Callithrix jacchus: one gene and its partners. The main gene of each other region encodes a partner of the protein of the gene in region 3 in a complex. Links are inferred from orthologs where the notes say so. Each region holds a gene or a part of one and is shown on either strand. Other genes may lie near its edges. The genes, in order: PXT1, BNIP5 and BAK1.

The links.
Region 1: the proteins of BAK1 (region 3) and PXT1 are in contact, whole or in part, in a crystal structure (PDB 8GSV), measured with the Homo sapiens proteins. The link is inferred for Callithrix jacchus from reciprocal best matches to the Homo sapiens genes BAK1 and PXT1. Residues at the interface, in NP_001179.1 of Homo sapiens: Ile81, Gly82, Asp84, Ile85, Asn86, Arg88, Tyr89, Glu92, Phe93, Met96, Leu97, His99, Leu100, Tyr110, Lys113, Ile114, Ser117, Leu118, Glu120, Ser121, Asn124, Trp125, Gly126, Arg127, Val129, Ala130, Phe134, Asn182; in NP_694535.2 of Homo sapiens: Ile78, Ile79, His80, Lys81, Leu82, Ala83, Met84, Gln85, Leu86, Arg87, His88, Ile89, Gly90, Asp91, Asn92, Ile93, Asp94, Arg96, Met97.
Region 2: the proteins of BAK1 (region 3) and BNIP5 are in contact, whole or in part, in a crystal structure (PDB 8IGC), measured with the Homo sapiens proteins. The link is inferred for Callithrix jacchus from reciprocal best matches to the Homo sapiens genes BAK1 and BNIP5. Residues at the interface, in NP_001179.1 of Homo sapiens: Leu78, Ile81, Gly82, Ile85, Tyr89, Glu92, Phe93, Met96, His99, Leu100, Tyr110, Lys113, Ile114, Ser117, Leu118, Ser121, Asn124, Trp125, Gly126, Arg127, Val129, Ala130, Phe134, Ala180, Leu183; in NP_001010903.3 of Homo sapiens: Ile246, Ile247, Gln248, Met249, Ile250, Val251, Leu253, Leu254, Lys255, Arg256, Val257, Gly258, Asp259, Gln260, Trp261, Glu262, Glu264, Gln265, Ser266.

The regions. Positions count from the first base shown.
Region 1 is NC_133505.1:44,720,437-44,724,088, forward strand, and holds part of PXT1 (peroxisomal testis-specific protein 1), read right to left. Parts: intron 1,698-3,652; coding exon 1,567-1,697; intron 1-1,566.
Region 2 is NC_133505.1:44,631,091-44,634,742, reverse strand, and holds part of BNIP5 (protein BNIP5), read left to right. Parts: intron 1-395; coding exon 396-457; intron 458-1,056; coding exon 1,057-1,297; intron 1,298-2,141; coding exon 2,142-2,273; intron 2,274-3,351; coding exon 3,352-3,416; intron 3,417-3,652.
Region 3 is NC_133505.1:41,823,834-41,826,391, reverse strand, and holds the end of BAK1 (bcl-2 homologous antagonist/killer), read left to right. Parts: intron 1-361; coding exon 362-542; intron 543-666; exon of another isoform or gene 667-667; coding exon 668-772; 3' UTR 773-2,001; downstream 2,002-2,558. UniProt on the Homo sapiens protein: Plays a role in the mitochondrial apoptotic process. Upon arrival of cell death signals, promotes mitochondrial outer membrane (MOM) permeabilization by oligomerizing to form pores within the MOM.

The DNA of each region.
Region 1 (3,652 bases), about 2.9 Mb from region 3:
CTCTTGCTTTTTTTTTTTTTTTTTTTTGAAACAGAGTCTCACTCTGTCGCCCACACTGTGGCACAATCTCGACTCACTGCAACCTCTGCCTCCCGGGTTTAAGTGATTCTCCTGCCTCAGCCTCCCAAATAGCTGGAATTACAGGTGTGTGCCACCATGCCTGGCTAGTTTTTGTGTTTTTCAGTAGAGACGAGGTTTCACTATATTGGTTAAGCTTGTCTCGAACTCTTGACCTCAAGTGATCCACCCGCCTCGGTCTCCCAAAGTGCCGGGATTACAGGTGTGAGCCACCGCACCTGGCACCTTCTTGCTTTTATAGCATTATTGTTGAGATCTCCCATTCATATTTTGTCTTGGGGATGTTTTATTTGAGGGCAAGGCTGTGTGTTGTCCACATTTGGACCTGAGTATAAAAGAGGACACGGCACTCCCTGTGGCATGCATGATGGAGGGCAGCATGATGGAAGCTTCACCAAGAAAGCTTCACAGGATAGTTGAATCTAAGGGCAAAAAGTTGGGCTCTGAGGGGCTGCCATCCCGTCTGTCACAGAGCCCATGTGATCATTCTCTACTGCCAAATACAGGTTGCTCTGGAGAAAAAAATAAGTTAGCTATGGATTTCATCACCCCAAACAGTAATCATTAGTCTTTCCTATTTTCCCCTATTATCTCTTATAATAATCAGGAGAAACTAAGAAACCGGCAGGGGTAGGGCCGGCCTCCTTCCCTTCGGGCTGATTCAGGGAGGATAACCAAAGTCCAAGGCACAGGTTCTCCTCTCTGACTGTGCATTAGATTCACTGAGGCAGTTTTTAAAATGCCAGGTGCCCCAGCCTTACCTTGGGCCAATTAAATCAGAATTTCTCCAGGTTGGGCCCAGGCATCTGTCATTCCTAAAACTCAACAGGTGATTCCAGTTGCACCCTATTTTGAGGGTGTGGAGCAGTTTCTCACACTTCAGTGTGCACACAAATTCCCTGGGGAATGCATAAAAAGGTAGATTCTGGGCTGGGTGTGGTGGCTCATGCCTGTAATCCCAGCACTTTGGGAGGACAAGGCAGGTGGATCACGAGGTCTGAAGATCAAGACCATCCTGGCTAACACTGTGAAACCTCATCTCTACTAAAAATACAAAAAATTAGCCAGGCGTGGTGGCACTCGCCTGTAGTCCCAGCTATTTGGGAGGCTGAGGCAGGAGAATCACTTGAACCTGGAGGCAGAGGTTGCAGTGAGCCAAGATCATGCCATTGTGCTCCAGCCTGGGAAACAAGAGCGAAAGGTAGATTCTGATTCTGACTGGGTGGGCTGGGGTCTCAGACATTGCACATCTAACCAAGTGATGTTGATGCTGCCAGTCCACAGACCACAATCTGAGCAGCAAGTATGAGATTCAATGCCAGCTTTGAATTCAGGTTCACAATGTTTAGATCGAATATTTGGTAATCCAGACAGTATTAATCCATGAATTTCGATAATTTCTGGGTGTCTCAGATACTTGGCAGCCATAGTTTTGTTTACTCTTTCCTCCAACCTGACAGGCCCTGGCTGGGGAAAGTGGAGCCTCACCTCTGGAACCATCCTATGATCAATGCTGTCTCCAATGTGTCTCAGCTGCATGGCCAACTTGTGAATTATTTCCTCCTGGTGATGCTTCTGACCAATGCTATGCTCCTTGGGCTGAGAAGGTAGCTTATGATCTGCATTGATAGAAGAGTTCAAAAGAGATAATATCACTTAATTATCTGTAAAATCACTTACCACTAGTTACTAAAAACTGTCTTAGAAAATGAGAGGGTTGGCTGGGTGCAGTAGCTCACGGCTGTAATCCCAGCACTTTGGGAGGCCGAGGCGGGTGGATCACTTGAGATCAAGAGTTCAATACCAGCCTGGTCAACACAGCAAAATCCTGTTTCTACTAAAAATACAAAAAATTAGCTGGACGTAGTGACAGGCACCTGTAATCCCAGCTACTTGGGAGGCTAAGGCAGGAGAATTGCTTGAACCCGGGCAGCAGAGGTTGCAGAAAGCTGAGATAGCGCCATTGCACTCAGTCTGGGTGACAAGAGCAAAATCATTCTCAAAAAAAAAAATGAGACGGTTGAAATTCAGTCATTATAATAATTATCAAAAAGCAAAGCCTAACTGTTGGAATACATCAGCTCTCTCCAATAGAAATATAATTCAAGCCATATGTAATTTTAAATTTTCCAGTAGTAAAATCAGGTAAAATTAATTTTAGCAATTTATTTTACCTAAATCAATTTACTCAAAATATTATAACATTTATCAATATAAAATTATTAATGACGTATTTTACATTTTAAAATTATACCTAAGTCTTTGAAATTCAGTGTTTTTTTTTTGTACTTATAAAACGCCTTAATTTAGAGCCTAACTTTTCACTGGAAAATCTTGATCTATACTTGGATTTCATGAAGTTGACAGTTTAAAAAGTAGATTCAGGCCAGATGCCATGGCTCACATCTATAATCCCCAAACTTTGGGAGGCCAAAGTGGGAGGATCACTTGAGCCCAGGAGTTTCAGACCAGCCAGGGCAACATAGTGAGACATTGTCTCCAGGAAAAATTTAAAAATTAGCTATGCATAGTAGCTCACACCTGTAGTCCCACCTACAAAACTGAGGCTGACATGGGAGAATTGCTTGAGCCCAGGAGGCAGAGGCTGGAGTGAGCTATGATCACACCACTACACTCCAGCCTGAGCAACAGAGCAAGAGCCTGTCTCAAATAAAAAAAAATAGATTCACATATCCAGGTCATTTCAAACATACTTAAAAGGGCTCCAACAATTAAATCAAGTATCAGTTTTAAAATGTAAATTAATTGAAATTAACCAAAACTTAAAATTCAGTTCCTCAATTGCACCAGCCACATTTCAAGTGCTCATAACCAAATGTGGTTAGTAGCTATTGTATTGGACAAGCAGTAATAGATCTTTAGTTTTTCAAAATAGATTTTTCCACTATATATATATATATAATATATATATAAAATATATATTACAGTTGTATGTGTGTGTGTGTCTATATATATATATTTATATATATATATATAAAGGAAAAATCTATTTTGAATAACTATATATATATATATATTTTTTTTTTTTTAAATAGACACAGGGTCTTGCTTTGTTGCCTAGGCTGATCTTGGTCTTAACTCCTGGGTTCAAGCAATCCTCACACTTCAATCTTCCAAAGTGCTGGGATTACAGGAATGAGCCACTATGCCCAGCCCCCTTTAATATTTTTACCCACTCTCCTTGATGAGCCCTCCAAACTTTATTTGCTTCTAGCAACCAATGAGCGTTTTTAAGCAACACTGTAGGTTAACACTTGTTGGGTGCCTTGGGGAGGGCCTAAAACATACAGACAAGGTTTCTGCCCTTTAGTCACTTAGAACGAACGCATGGGTTACAGATGATACAATTCCCAAGTGCTTTAGGACTACAGAAGAGAAGGAAATAAATTTGGGCTAAAGTAGATGTAAGTATGGTTTCATAGAGAAAGCAAGAGTTGTGCTGGATCTGTTTCATTTCAATAAAATTGGAGGACCTTTGATTTCAGGCCTGTCCTCAAAGAGTCCAATGGGAGAGAGACACAAACTATGATTCAACATGTTAGAGTAAGAACAA
Region 2 (3,652 bases), about 2.8 Mb from region 3:
CTTGACCTCGTGATCTGCCTGCCTCAACCTCCCAAAGTGCTGGGATTACAGGCATGAGCCACCATGCCCGGCCCTTGTTTGCTTTTCATAGAAAATGTGCCTTAAAGGGGAATTCTGCCTGAACAGGGGGAAGGTGCAAGGTGAGGGCACTTGTAGGGAACAGGCCTTTCCAGATGGCCCTGAGGGGACTCCTCCCGGGTTTCAATTTGGAGGCCCTCTTTGGGAAAGTGAACATGTGTCCCATGAAACCAGCTCTGCCCTCAGGCCACCTCTGGCAGCTCTTTAGCCCCCTGGAGAATCACCCAGGGAGCCAGCTGGGCATAAGGAAATGAAGACTGACCTTAGAAGAGCTTTTCTAGCACTGAAGTGTAACCATGCATGCTGATCTTTTTCAGGAGAATTCATTCAGAAGATCATTTCCATGCTCCAAGATGCAGAAGAACAGCGAGGAGAGGAGGTGAGGAAGATGCTCCCCACATAGCCCTGACCTCACTGTGGGCTCCCCAACCCTGCCTGGGAAACAACTTCCTGCCCCTCCTGCACTTCTGTGTCCTGCCAAAGCCCTGCTCCAGTCCCTCCTGGTTTTTTTGGAGATGGAGTCTCACTCTGTTGCCCAGGCTAAAGCACAGTGGCTCGATCATGGCTCACTGCAACCTCTACCTCCTGGGCTCCAGCGATTCTCCAGCCTCAGCCTCCCAAGTAGCTGGGACTACAGGTGTGTGCCACCACACCTGGCTAATTTTTGCATTTTTAGTAGAGACAGGGTTTCACCAGCTTGGTCAGGCTGGTCTGGAACTCCTGACTGCTGGTGGTCCACCCACCTCGGCCTCTCAAAGTGCCGGGATCATAGGCATGAGCCACTGCACTCAGCCCCAGTCTCTCCGTCTTGAAGCTTCTCCAGCCCCCTCCAGACCACACACATTTCCCCCTCACTGAGCATCAGCCACCTTTCTCTGGGCAATACCTGCTAGCCCACCATGAGTTTCTTTCCCCAGCTCACCTGAGATCTCCTCAAGGTCAGGGGCCCTGACTCAGTTTCTCTCATCTCCCCCACAGCAACCTCAAGTCCAGGAGGAAGAGGTGTGTATAGAAAACCTGGCTCCACTCAGCAGAAGGAAATCTCAAGAAAAAAAGTTGAGCTTCAGGAGAGCATTTTACCATAAGAAACACAGCTCCAAAGAACCCAAGAGAGCAGGGGCAGCAGGGGCCACCAGCCCAGAGACCCGACGGCCCAAGAGGCCCAGCTTTCTGCCCCTGTGTGTTGGTGGGCATCGGCCCTCCACCTCCAGCAGCCTTGGTGAGCAGGCCTGGTGTTGCCATGGTAACAGAGCCTTCCTCTCAGACAGGGCTGCTGTGGGGCCTATCCGTTGCCAACAGTCTGGCTTAGTGGGGGATGTCCAGCCCTAACTGTTGCTTTCCATGCTGAGCAGAGTCGGGGGTGTGGAAGTGTGGGGAGAGGTGAGGGGCCAGGTGCCAGCAGGCCCCCACCCCTAGCAGCCCCTGCTCACAGCGCACGCCCTCCCCACACCCCGCCACACACAAACACTTAACAACAGCCGTGGTGGGAGAGCCGTGCAGCTGTGCATCAGAATCGCCTGGCCAGTTACATAGAAAAGCACAGAGACCTGGGTTTGATGAAGTAGGGTATGGCCTGGGCCTTTTTTTTTACTACACCAAAGCGCGAGGCCACTGGTGTACCGTGATTCCCCTGACATCACAGAGCACCTGCTGCATGCTACTTTCACACGTATCATCTCATTTAACCTGCTCGAAACCCTGTGAGGTCAGTCTTATCACTCCCACTTAACAGATGGAGAAAGAGAGGCTCAGACAGGCTGAGTGACCCAGAAAGCCTGGCAGAGTGAAAGGGTTTGTTTGGTGGACCTGTCGGCACACCTGTTTTAACTGCACCCCTCCCAGACTGTGAGGAGGAGGAAATGGTTGGTGGGGGAAGGAGGAATTAGGTTTCTGGAGAAGGCCAAGAGAGCACCACGAACTCCTCTGAGGCAGAGCCGGGGGCGGGAAACTCACGGAGGAGCCTGGAAACCAGCCCTGGCTTATGCCTGTGCCTCTGAACAGCTTCTTGTCGGGAACTGGATTAGCTCTCTGTGAAACACTCACCAACTCTTTTTTTGCCCTAGATCCAGAAGATCTCGAGTGCCAGGAGCCCTCACCTGCAGAAGGCGAGCCTGTTGTGGTCCCAGAAGCACCCTTCCAGGCCAGAGGCCACACATCAGAAGGGGCATCTCAGCTGAGTGGAGTGTGTGAATCTAGTCAGTATCACCCCTGCTCTTACCCGGACAGCTTCCCAGCGCTTCTCCTCCATGTGGAGTTCACAGGCAGTATTGGGGAGGGTTCTGAGAAAGGAATGGGGAAGGCAGCAGGCAAAGACCCCAGGAGACTTTAGGATGGGGTAGGGGGCACAGACTTGGCCTTTTAACTGGGGCGGTTGGGGCAGTTGCAGGTAGAGGACACCTGTCTGTTCCGTGGGATGTAATTAACACCTGCCGTTAGTTTGCTTGAATGTTTCTTGTGAAATTCCTAGCTTGCTCCAGGTCTCATAAGCAGTGGTGTGCTGGCAGACCACTGGGAGAGGTGATGCCCTGTTTTGTAGCCTTTGCAGATTTCCATGGCATAAATATTTTTTACCTCCGCTGATTTCAAGCTGCCAACAGTTTATAACAACTAGTCCACAAATTAATTAGCTGGGCACGGTGGTGGGAACCTGTAATCCCAGCTACTTGGGAGGCTGAGGCAGGAGAATCACTTGAACCCGGGAGGTGGAGGTTGCAGTGAGCAGAGATTGCGCCCACTGCACTCCAGCCTGGATGACAAAGTGAGACTCTGTCTAAAACAAAACAAAATGAGTCTACAAATTTCCTGAATAGTTACAGTGAACTTAGTATGAGCAGGCCCTGGCGTACCACTGCTTAGAACCGAGGTGAATGGGTGCATTCCCAATGGGTCTGTAGCCCTGGCATGTCTCCTCCCTGTATTCTGATGCGCTGCCTCTAGTCCAAACTCCCATTCTCGACTGGGCTACTCTGTAGCCTGGTTAAGGGACACTGGGAGGCCTTAGTTTCCCACCTATCAAATAGAGCCGAATGTGGTTACAGGTGAGGCCCAGCAAGCCAGAGTCCCTTCTATTTCTATAAAGGGAACCCAAGCAAAGCTCTCACGCTCCAGCTCTAGTTTAAGGCAAGAATTTTCTTGATCCATCATAACTAATGTGCGTGCGGAGTTTTAGAGAGAATACTGTCTTTCACAGGTGGATGTGTTGTTGCAGCGCTTTGTTTTTGGAAGGGAACTGGGCATCACCCAGTCAGTAACTCAATCCTTTCTTTTCCTTAGAGGAGCTCATCATCCTGAAGCTGGTGGCGCTTCTCCAAGAAGTGGATGGTCAACTGGGGCAGCAGGTGAGCACCACTCAGCCTTCCCCAGGCCAGCCCCAGGGCCTCATCTACCCACAGCTGAGACCTGGGTTCCATCCCTAAGTCTGCACCTCTGGGCAATTTTGAGAATACCCCTTAACCTCTCTGAGCCTCAGTTTCAAAATGAGAGATAATTACCGACTCGACCAAGCTTAGTGCATATGTAGAAAATGCCAGACATGCAGCAGTTGAGGGAACTGTTTAAAAGAAGCCAATGCTCA
Region 3 (2,558 bases):
CAGGAACTACTCTAATCTTTTCTGTCCTTTTCTCTCTGCTGTCCCTTGGGCTGCCAGGCCAGCACAACACCCACAGGTAATCTCCCCGCTGACCCCTCCACTCGCTCTGCCCTCTACCCTGTCTGTGCCCCTTTGCACCTGAGTGTACATCCCAGCAGTGGCATCCAGCTCATACCCCTCAGCTTTCTCCTTTCACAGAGACCCAGGTTATTCCCAAATACAGGCCAGGCTGGGGCAGCCTCTGCAGCCTTAATTCACAGCAAATTTAGCTTTCCAGCTGGGAGAGGGAAGGGAGAGGGCAGGCAGGCTGACGGGCCTCCTGGGGCCTCTCCACCAATGGTATGCAATGCTCTGCCCGCAGCCTGTTTGAGAGTGGCATCAACTGGGGCCGTGTGGTGGCTCTCCTGGGCTTTGGCTACCGTCTGGCCCTACACGTCTACCAGCGCGGCCTGACTGGCTTCCTGGGCCAGGTGACCCGCTTCGTGGTGGACTTCATGCTGCATCACTGCATCGCCCGGTGGATCGCACAGAGGGGTGGCTGGGTGAGTATCTGAGGATTGCAACGTCCTCCCTGCTGTTGGGGCTGCTCCTCTCCCAGGCCCCGCCCCTCCCCAGGTGCCTGTATCTTCTGCCTGACTCTCTGTGACCACCGTGTTTCTCCCGGCAGGTGGCAGCCCTGGACCTGGGCAATGGACCCATCCTGAATGTGCTGGTCGTTCTGGGTGTGGTTCTGTTGGGCCAGTTTGTGGTACGAAGATTCTTCAAATCATGACTCCCAAGGGTGCCCTTTGGGGTCCCTGCTGAGACCCCAGCCTGGACTTAAGCCAAGTCTTTGCCTCCTCCACTCCCTTCAGGGGTCCCCCCTCAAGAGTACAGAAGCTTTAGCAAGGGTGCACTCCAGCTTTGGAGGGCCCCTGTGTGGGGGCCAGTCAGGCTGCAAAGGTGCCTCAACATTGCATGGTGCTAGTGGGCCCTCTCTCTGGGCCCAGGGGCTGTGGCCTCCTCCCTCGGCTCTCTGAGACCTCCTTAGCCCTGTCTGCTAGGCACTAGGGAGACTGATAACTTGGGGAGGCAAGAGACTGGGAGCCACTTCTCCCCAGGAAGCGTTTAACGGTTCTAGCTTTTTATAATACCCTTTAGAGAGCCCATTCCCACCATTCTACCCGAGGCCAGGACGGCTGGGGTTTGGGGGTTGGTGGGTCTACCCTCTGTTCCCCAGGATTCAGCTATGCTGGAGCGCCTAAGAGCTGGGACTTGATCCTGGTCCTGGCCCTCCCAAAGCATCATGTGTTCCAGGAGCAGGACTGACTGGGAGACAGGGGCGGAGGTCCTGCCCAGCGCTCTGCCTGCTCCCATTCCTCCCTCCAGCCATACTGCCTTTGCAGTTGGACTCTCAGGGATTCTGGGCTTGGGGAATGGGGTGGGGTGGATTCGCAGACGAGAGCTGTCTGAACTTACGTGTCAGAAACCTCCAAGCCTGCCTCCCTAGGTCCTCTCAGTTCTCTCCCTTCCTCTCTCCTTTTAGACACTTGCTCCCAACCCATTCACTACAGGTGAAGGCCCTCACCCTGGGGACCTTGGGTGAGTGGCATTCTAAGGCCCCTCCTTGCCCAGACTACAGGGCTTAGGACTTGGTTTGTTATTTCAGGGAAAAGGTGTAGGGAGTTCATCTGGAGGGTTCTAAGTGGGAGAAGGACTATCGACACCACTAGGAATCCCAGCAGTGGGATCCCCACCTCATGGCTCTGGCACGGTGTACTCCGGGGTGTTGATGGGGGAAATGTGAATACTTGAACTCTGTCCCCCCACCCTCCATGCTCCTCACCTGTCTAGGTCTCTCTTGGGGGGGGGGTGAGAGTCCCTTCTCTATTGGGCATTGCCTAGGGTGTTGGGGGAGGGGAGAGAAGTTCTTGATTCAGCCAAATGCAGGGAGAGGCAGCTGGAGCCCGAAGCCACTCCCTATCCTCTGAGCGTTTGGAAATAAACTGTGCAATCCCCTCACCCCGACTTAGTAGTTTTTGTATTCTCTGCTCCCCCTCTTTCCATCAGGCTAGACTGGGGGTGCCTGATATTACTGACTAAATCCTCACACTAGGCTTCCAGAATCCCATGGAGGTCTGACTATGGTCCTGCAGCCCCCAGCCGCTGGAAGGCCTTCACCCCTCCTCATGCACTTCCCTCATCTCTGTGGGTTTCATGCAATTTCCCACCCTTTAGGACGTTTGAACTGCTGGATCATAGCTACAGAGCTGGTGGAGCAGCTGCACTTATCTGAGGACCCCCACAGGCCACCTCAGGCCTGGCCTGAATTCCTCTCCCACCCTGGGGCTATCACCCACGCTGGTCCAAAAGGCCTTTCTCCCCCACACTTAGCTCTGCCTGGGACGCAATGTCCCAGCTCCCCCTTCCTGTTGTCTCCACAGTCAGCACGCACGCAGGGCTTTCATTCTAGTTTTATGCTGCTTGGGAGTCCCTATGGGGACGCAGCCAGGGGTGATAAAAATAACAAGCATGGGGGCGTTGAAATGTTCCAAAATCTACAGTCTTTCCAGTCCTGG